2 linked regions of the Callithrix jacchus genome follow. The protein of the gene in region 1 binds, or shares a complex with, the protein of each later gene. Links are inferred from orthologs where the notes say so. Each region holds a gene or a part of one and is shown in the gene's direction. Other genes may lie near its edges. The genes, in order: CRB1 and PALS1.

Region 1 (4,446 bases):
GGAGGGAGATCAAATTGGTTCAGTATGTAGATGTCCCAGAATGGTATTGTTGCAAAAGGCATGAAGGGACACATAAGAATAAAGATGAAAAGAGACTTCACAAGATTGATTGAAGAACTAATGTTCTAGAAATCATGGGAAGACTCTGGTCCTAATGTTGACACTGACCCACCAGAAGACTGGGCACACAGACTAATTGCCCTGCTTCTCAATTCTCCAATTGACAAAACGCACGGATTAAAACAGGGGGTTAGTAACGCCTCTGTACTGTGAAATTCTTTGACTCTAATTGTTAAAAATTGCCCGAGTTAAATTATTTGCATGAGAAGAAGAAAATTTTTTAAAAATAATAATTGTCATGAATTCTATAAAATTTAAATAATTTTAAATGGCTAAACTCTAGCAAGTAAATCTGGGAGTATGTGAGAGAATAATATTGATAAAAGACATTAAGCTGATTATCACAATATTAGATACATGGGCAGAAAATATAAAGACTTCAAACTATACGTTATATAGTTTAAAAAGCTGGCAGATTTATAAAGCTTTGTAACAGCCACAGAAATTGCATTTTAAACTGTAACAAGTGAGCAGTTTTAACAATGGAAAAAGGCTCTGTACTATCACTAACACCACTTAGAGAAGAAAGCATTCAGATTTTTTTTTTTTTTTTTTTTTTTGAGACCGTGTTTCGCTCTTGTTACCCAGGCTGGAGTGCAATGGCGCGATCTCGGCTCACGGCAACCTCCGCCTCCTGGGTTCAGGCAATTCTCCTGCCTCAGCCTCCTGAGGAGCTGGGATTACAGGCACGCGCACCATGCCCAGCTAATTTTTTGTATATATTTTTTAGTAGAGACGGGGTTTCACCATGTTGACCAGGATGGTCTCGATCTCCTGACCTCGTGATCCCCCGCCTCGGCCTCCCAAAGTGCTGGGATTACAGGCTAGCATTCAGATTTTAAAGAATGGATGTTTTCATGAAGTATCTAATAAAAATACAATTTTAAGAACTTGAACAATTTAATCTGAGAAAAATATTGTTGTATTTAAAAGAAATATATTTTCTATATAAGCAAACATGTTCGCATTCATCAATTATGGTAAAACTAAAGCTCAAGAAATCCCAGAGCATGTAATTTCATGAACCGAGAATAAAATGAGCTCTGGGTTTATGGACAAAATCTGCCCTTAAATGATCTCCAGAACTCTGTTCATTTTATGCAGTAGTTTAAGTTTTCGTCTATCTTGGCACAGCTTATAAACAACAGAAATCTGAGTTGTGGGAATATAATTTATAAACAGAAAAAAATGTCTGTGAATTGTGTTCTGAAGATGAAAGTAAATACATAGGAACATACGGTATTCCTTTAAAAGTTGCCAGATCATAATTGTGTGGCAAGACAGTTATCAGAAATTAATCCCTCTGTTGAGAGCAATTGAAGACACTATCCTAATGTAGGACCTTTGGAGGAGCCAGCATTAACAGAAGAAAACTCGTATCAAAGGCTTGAGGTGGGGATGAATCCAATCCAGCCTGAAAAAAATCTGCACCAGGTTTGAAAAATCACCCCATTCTCCAGCGTAAGTGATGCTAAGAAGCACAAACTGCTTTTTGAATCTAAGTCCCTGTGTTTTCTGTGAAGGAGCCGTAGTGGGGTGGGACAGAGATGGCACCTGGGAGTTCTGAGGCACCTGCTCCTCTCTGAGACGGACTGGCCTCAGGAGACAGACCAGACCAGACCAGCAACAACACATCAGAGGATGTTCTCTGAGGACGACCATGGCACTTAAGAACATTAAGTACCTTCTTATCTTCTACCTCAGTTTCTCACTGCTCATCTACATAAAAAGTAAGCCTTTCCCGTGTCTTGAACTTTGGGCATTTTTCCTGGTTTATTTCTGGCTTATATTTCTTACAAATAACGGATCATGTTGCATGTTCTGTAAAATACAATGCTAAAAAAGGAAGTTTTTATTTGTTTTTTTAAGTGTTCTGTGTTAAAAAAAATCAGTGATACCAGTCTATGTGAACAGTCAATTTTAAGATTCTGTGATTTCCAATAGGCATTCATGGGCAGAAATTTTGTTTTTAGCTTTTGTAGTAGTGAGCTGGAGAATGAAATGGTCACATAGAAAAGAAGATATTTTGTTGTGTTTACACTTCTACAGAATAGATTTGGCACTTGCTAATTGATATCCTTTAAAAGAAAGTTATTCATGAGCTATATTTCATTTTATTCCCACATTCTATATAGTTATCTTCACTTTAAAATAACTCTGTATTGCAACATTTGCTCTCATAATCAGGGGGATAGTCTCAGTGTTTCCCAAAAAGTAATGGTTCAAAGTGTTTCTTTCACCAGAGAAATGGGCTTTTACTGTTAGGTGCTTCTGTTTTATAAATGAAGATGTTATTTTTCATGAACTTCCCCAAATAGTAACAAGAACAATGTTTCTGGGATAATCTTGTCAGTTCTATGGCAGGATGGAAAATCAGAGGAGACCAAACGGCCCCAGCTGTGTGTTTATGAAGGACAGTAGCTATTGAACACGTTTAAAATGAAGACAGGGAGAGTATGTGCATGTTAAAGGGGCCATGTGATTTGTGTCTGTTGAATCTGAATATCAATAAGGCAAAGCATAGAGCAGCTGTCGTTGAACAAGACAACTTGGCGTTAGCACACAGTGTTGTGTAATCTGGGTCAACTTCTGTGGCTGTACCAGTGAGATTGTTACTAGCACAGTTTATAGCTGAACATATATCAGAGTTTGGGTGAAGAAATAAGTAAATGCCCTGGGTAGGTAGCGGAAGGCAAGTACAGAGAAACCAAGTCAGACTTTAACAAATGAACAGTGAAATACTTGACTGCAACACACATGCACAAAGGATTTTTTTTTCAGAGATATACTTGTCAAAGAGTTGTTCTTTTAGTACTTATTTACCCTCCTTGAAACTTAAAGTGGGCCCCAGATAATGTGAAATGAGGAAGAGAAGTGGTGTGTTTAGTTGTGCAGGTAGGAGAAATAAGAAATGAGAAAAAAGATATAAGATATAAAATGAATGTGAAGTGAATTTATGATGTAGTTTATGGCAAACAGCTTTGTCATTCAATGCAATATATATGAAAATTCCTAGAGTTTGCTGCAGTCTGTTTTAAAGGAAATGAATATATAATATCTTTAATTGAGTATAATAACTATACATCGATAATTACATATACATCATTTGTTTTTGCTCTCTTTGAGTAGGTGATTTTATCGATTGATACTTTGTAATTATTTGTATTTCTGATAGTAATTATTGTAAAATGATTGTAATCATTTGTATTTATTGATAGATACTTTGTAATTATTTGTATATATAAAGTATTTCTAAATACTTTGTAATTATTTGATTTATTCTACAGTACAGTATTTTTATTTATCTTAAAAAGTAAATTTGAAGTCTCATTTTCTTCTATTTTTAAGCAGGTAGACTTTTGTCCATGTTAATATATTTGTTGGCAATCGGCTAGTAGGGAGGCTGAGGTGGGAGGATTGCTTGAACCAGGGAGGTGGAGGCTGCAGTAAGCTGTGATCCTGCCACTGCACTCCAGCCTGGGCGACAGAGCTACACTCTGTCTCAAAACATGAAAAGAAAGGGAAAAATAAATTTCAGTTGTTAATACCATATTAACTGAGGGAATTAATGATTCTTCCTTTTGAACTTTGAAACATGTTCCCTTAAATTTAAGATAAAATAATCACCTCCAGCTCCATATTGTATTTTTGATCTAGAGTTCTGCCTTGCTCAGCTACCGGGGGAATGCTGTTTATGTTTTGTCTAATGCCCTTTATGTGTTCCAGTTGAGGATACATGACATGAAGAATATTAGAGCAGCATTCAGGAAGTGACATTCACTTTCTGTTCCTGAGCAGGTAGACATTCTTCTAACTTGAAGTTGCAATGAATTTGTCCTGATGGTTTTCATACCTGTTCCATCATTTTGCAAAACTTGTTCTAATGTGTGAGACCAGCTAAGTTTTACTAATTCAAAAGGAGCTATTATTTTTTGCTTCTGATGTACTAAAAGAGAAACTTATTAGAAAGAGACTCTCCTGTGGTCCATTATTCAGAGATTGTTTTAAATAATAAGAGTACTCCATAATGAACTTTTTGGGACCTTGATATACAAATCTGTTGTGAAGGGTTTTACAGAAACTACCATACTGTGAATTAGAAAAGCAATGTTTCTTTCTCTAGTCCTTTATAAATTTGGGAGTTAACTAAACATTGACAATCTAAATACCACATCTAGATTAATTTAAAAGTAACTGTTTTAATCTATATTTAAAGTTTGGTCATAGCATGTAAATAAAATGTGGTTTGATAAAATTACTATTAGAGTTCCTAGAACAACGTCAAAGAGTTTGGGGTAGCATTCAATCTTCTGAAAACTCGTAGCA
Region 2 (4,523 bases), on another chromosome or scaffold:
GGCACGGTGGCTCATGCCTGTAATCCTAGCACTTTGGGAGACTGAAAAGGGTGGATCACCTAAAATCAGGAGTTCAAGACTGGCTTGTTCAATGTGGTGAAACCCTGTCTCTATTAACAATACAAAAACTAGCTGAGCGTGGTGGTGGGCACTTGTAATCTCAGTTTACTCGGGAGGCTGAGGCAGGAGAATCACTTGAACCCAGGAGGCGGAGGTTGCAGTGAGCTGAGGTCCTGCTAATGCATTCCAGCCTGGGTGACAAGAGTAAAACTCCGTCTCAAACAAAAACAAACGAACAAACAAAATAACTTAGAAAACAAAGTAAGTCACACACACTAACCATTTTTTCTTTTGGGGTATGGCTAATGGTTTCTAGGAATCCTGGAGACAGACTTTATCCGGATTTCAGTTGGGCATTTCACCAGTTCTCACTGCATCTTTGTGGAGGAATACGGGCCAAGAAGACATTTTGGTTGTGCTGTCCATCTGTACTCAAAGCCTTCGGAGAAATTTTTGAAGGCAGGAGTATTAAAGTCTTTAGAGGCATGTAGCAGAGCTCTGTCCTCGGCTCTGTGTTACTAAACACTTGGACAGAATGCTGATCAGATTTGAGAAAGATAACAAATCTGGGAAGGGTAGGCATCCCGAAGATCTTCACCACCAGGAGCAATGGTTTGCTTCGTTCAGGGCATCACTGTGTCCCTAAGGAGGTACACTAACAACCCATAGGCTGTCCAGAAGAGCGTAATGGGGAAGAATGTGAAAGAACTTGAAAGTCAGGATCTGGGGAGATTGCAAAATGGAAAAATACGGTGGGGCAAAATGAAGAAAATCGTGAGAAATAGCATATCCGCAGGCTTTGAGGGAGGACTGTGCCCCTGGGGGAAATTGTGGCCCTGGGCTGGAGTCATAGGCAGATTTTGGCCTCATAGAAGGAGAGGTCGATTAACAAACCCTGCACGTGTTCGAAGGTGGGATGGGGTTCCTCGGAAGGTACTGTCAAGGCAGAGACCAACCGATGGCTTTACTGGAAGTGTCAAGACACATTTGCTGGCATTTCTCCTTAGAACGTACTCCAATCTGTTCTGACTTCCTCCCGAACCCGCCTGAGTCCTGCCCATTTCAAGGGTGGCACATCCAGGTCCCGAGGGCGCCAGCCGTGCCTGGGGCATGGGCTGGCCTGCGTAACTCTCTGTCCCTTCAGGAGACCTCTGGGAAATAGCTCTAGCCCTTGCCATCCTTGCTTTCTGGTTTTCAGAAGTCAGCGCAGCTGCTGGCTTTCTGGAGTCTTCTGCGGGACAGTGCACACATCCAGGTGTTTACGTCATTTTTTTTTTTTAAACAAATGTTAGATTGTGTGACTAACTTGACAGAACACGAGGAATACCTTCAAGAATCATATTTTCGTCAGAAACCGTCATCCAGAAACAGAAGAGCCAAGGGCTGTAAAGCCCCAGGGAAGCCTTAGCGTCTACACCACAGAACCCGCCCGCTAAACCCCGGAGGGGCTCCTCAGGGCCAGTCAGCCCCCAGCTGTTCGCGTTTTAGACTTGGAGGCGCGCCAGTGCGCGCACCCGGCGGGAACTGAGGAGACGACCAATGAACGGGCGCTCTCTCCGCACCGGCTAGGGATTGGGCGAGCCGCTACAGCCTCTCATGGGAGGGGTGGGACTGGGACCCGTGTGCCCGCTGAGCCAGAGTCCCGGGGGCGCGTGCGCGGTCTCGCGGCGGCCGCAGGGGCCGGTCTCGCGCGGTCTAGAGGTGGAGTTGCTGGCGGCTGCGGCGGCGGCGGCGGCGGCGACGGCGGAGGCTGGCTGTGGGGCGGGGTCTAAGGATTCTGAGGTGAGGAGTCCGGAGTTTCTGGATTCTTTATCCGGTATTTTAAGGGCCGCCGGAGGGCTGTCGCTTCGGCAGTGCTTCGGAGCGGCCGGGGCGGGAGGCTAGCGGAGCCGGGGCGCGGAGGTAAGAGGCGGATTGGTGGCGGCTGGGCTGTGGAGATCTTAATCAACAGGTCTCCGGCAGCGCGGCGGGGGAGGGGCGGTCGGACTCCCCCTCCCCCACACGCCGTGCAAACTCCGGCGGGCTGGGGACCCCCGGCCGCCAGGCGGTCTTCCTCAGGCGCGGGAGCCGTGGCCGTGGAGGGTGTGAACCCACCCTTTGTCCCTCGGAGTAACGCTGCCGGCGCGGTGCCCGCTCCTTCTCCTTGGCCGGTCATGCACCTTGGCGCGGGCCACAGCCTGCCCGGCCGGAGGTGCGTGGGGCGCCGCGGGCAGTGGTCTTCCCCCTGCGCCCCCGCCCGGAGGTCGCGACGAGCTGGATTCTCCCGGCCGGGTGGGGGAGATCGCCTAGGGAACGCTTTCCTTTGGAAGTCGGAAAGTAGTCAGCGTCCCTCTGCCTGACTCAGCTGCTGGTATTCTGCTACTCATTGCGTTCTTAAACACGCAAACAGTTCCTGCTTCCTTGTGACCACTTTTAAATAAAAGCCTAATTTTGTTAATGGTTTCTGATAATATAAGTTTGCACATTGAACTTTGAAGCCTGTAAATTGTAATCTACGTTTATTGAAGGTTGGATTAAACGATCTTTGTAGTAAATAATATAACTTTCTAAAGATAATAACTCACCTGTTTACTTGATTGATATACAGTAATGTGTTTGGAATGTAGGTTTCGGTCGAAAGGTTTTTCTTGACAGTTTATGCTAAAATTAAAATCTGATGGCTAGGAAGTTTTTAGATGTGGTATGTAGTGTGTGTTTTGTCTCCATACTCGTTTACAATAGTAAGAATTTAGATTTGGAAAGTCAGTTGAACAAAAATTTTGAAATTTTGATTTGACTGACACAGTGAAAGGTGTTAATATTTCTGATTTTAAAAATATGTTTTAATGATGGTTTACTAATTATGCTTTTGGATTATACAGGAGGTTAATTACCTGTTAAATTCTGCAATAGGAACAAATGACGTGTTGGTTATTGGTGTCTTTGAAGTATTGGTGGTCATGAAAGTTACTAAATAAGCTTTCTTGAATTATGAACTACCAATTTTTTTTTTACTAGGTCCCCGTGGACATAGTGTATTGTGGATAGGTTTTGTAGGCTTTCTATTTGCAGCAGGATGAGCTATTAAATTATAATGTAAGAGATTTATAGATGAAACAGGCAAAAATAGGAAAAGCAATTCATTATTTTATCTTTAAAAATCTAGTAAATTTGGCCGGGTGCGGTGTCTGACGCCTATAATCCCAGCCCTTTGGGAGGCCGATGCGGGTGAATTATTTGAGGTCCAGTGTTCGAGACCAGCCTGGTCAACAGGGCAAAACCCCATCTCTACTAAAAATACAAAAAATTAGCCGGGTGTGGTGGTATAGGCCTGTAATTTCAGCTACTCGAGTGGCTGAGGCAGGAGAATTGCTTGAACCCAGGAGATGGAGGTTGCAGTGAGCTGAGATCACCCCACTGCACTCCAGTCTGTGCAACAGAGAGAGACTGTCTCAAAAAAAAAAAAAAATCGGCAGGGCACGGTGGCTCAAGCCTGTAATCCCAGCACTTTGGGAGGCCAAGGCAGGTGGATCATGAGATCGAGACCATCCTGGTCAAAATGGTGAAACCCCGTGTCTACTAAAGATACAAAAAATTAGCTGGGCATGGTGGCGTGTGCCTGTAGTCCCAGCTACTCGGGAGGCTGAGGCAGGAGAATTGCCTGAACCCAGGAGGTGGAGGTTGCGGTAAGCCGAGATCGCGCTCTTGCACTCCAGCCTGGGTAACAAGAGCGAAACTCCCGTCTCAAAAAAAAAAAAAAACGAGTAAACTTTAGCAGGTATCTGAATGATTTTTGGCTAGACAGACTTGAACTTGACAAGTAAAGGTGGATTAACATTAATTTGTTTTAGAATGTTAAAGCAGACAATATGTAAGTTCTACCTCAGGGTGACCCAAGTCAGTACAGTGGGTTTAGTTTTTACATGATCTAGAATTATAATCTTGATTAAAAATCTCAATTCAGGGGCACATGTTCTCAGGATCTCCTGAGGGCTATGTCATGAAAAAATTTAAATAAAATTTTATCAGACATTCCAAGAAATTTGATTAATTTTATGTAATACTGAGATTCCCTGTTTCTCTGATATTTTCTGATTTCAGGGTGTCTAGAAAAGATAGTATCTTGACATATGTGCTTTAGAATATAATTTTCTTTTCTTTTTGTGAGACAGAGTCTTGCTCTGTCGGCCAGGCTGGAGTGAAGTGGTGTGATCTGGGCTCACTGCAGTCTTCACTTCCTGGGTTAAAGCGATTCTTCTACCTCAGCCTCCTGAGTAGCTGTTCACCACACCCTGCTAATTTTCATATTTTTATTGGAGACAGGGTTTGGCCATGTTGGCCAGGCTAGCCTCGAACTCCTGACCTCAGGTGATCCACCTACCTTGACCTCCCAAAGTTCTGGGATTACAGGCACAAGCCATTGCTAGAATATAATTTTTTATCATATTCTTACTGAATCATAGGATCGTTGAGTTGGAAGTAAT

Evidence for each region.
Region 2: the proteins of CRB1 (region 1) and PALS1 are in contact, whole or in part, in a crystal structure (PDB 4UU5), measured with the Homo sapiens proteins. The link is inferred for Callithrix jacchus from reciprocal best matches to the Homo sapiens genes CRB1 and PALS1. Residues at the interface, in NP_957705.1 of Homo sapiens: Ala1401, Met1402, Glu1403, Arg1404, Leu1405, Ile1406; in NP_071919.2 of Homo sapiens: Lys261, Pro266, Leu267, Gly268, Ala269, Thr270, Val271, Arg272, Asn273, Ser281, Arg282, Val284, Val314, Asn315, Val317, Phe318, Leu321.

What each region holds. Positions count from the first base shown.
Region 1 is NC_133520.1:24,126,551-24,130,996, forward strand, and holds the start of CRB1 (protein crumbs homolog 1), read left to right. Parts: upstream 1-1,630; 5' UTR 1,631-1,780; coding exon 1,781-1,850; intron 1,851-4,446. UniProt on the Homo sapiens protein: Plays a role in photoreceptor morphogenesis in the retina. May maintain cell polarization and adhesion.
Region 2 is NC_133509.1:102,220,791-102,225,313, forward strand, and holds the start of PALS1 (protein PALS1), read left to right. Parts: upstream 1-1,704; 5' UTR 1,705-1,842; exon of another isoform or gene 1,843-1,962; intron 1,963-4,523. UniProt on the Homo sapiens protein: Plays a role in tight junction biogenesis and in the establishment of cell polarity in epithelial cells.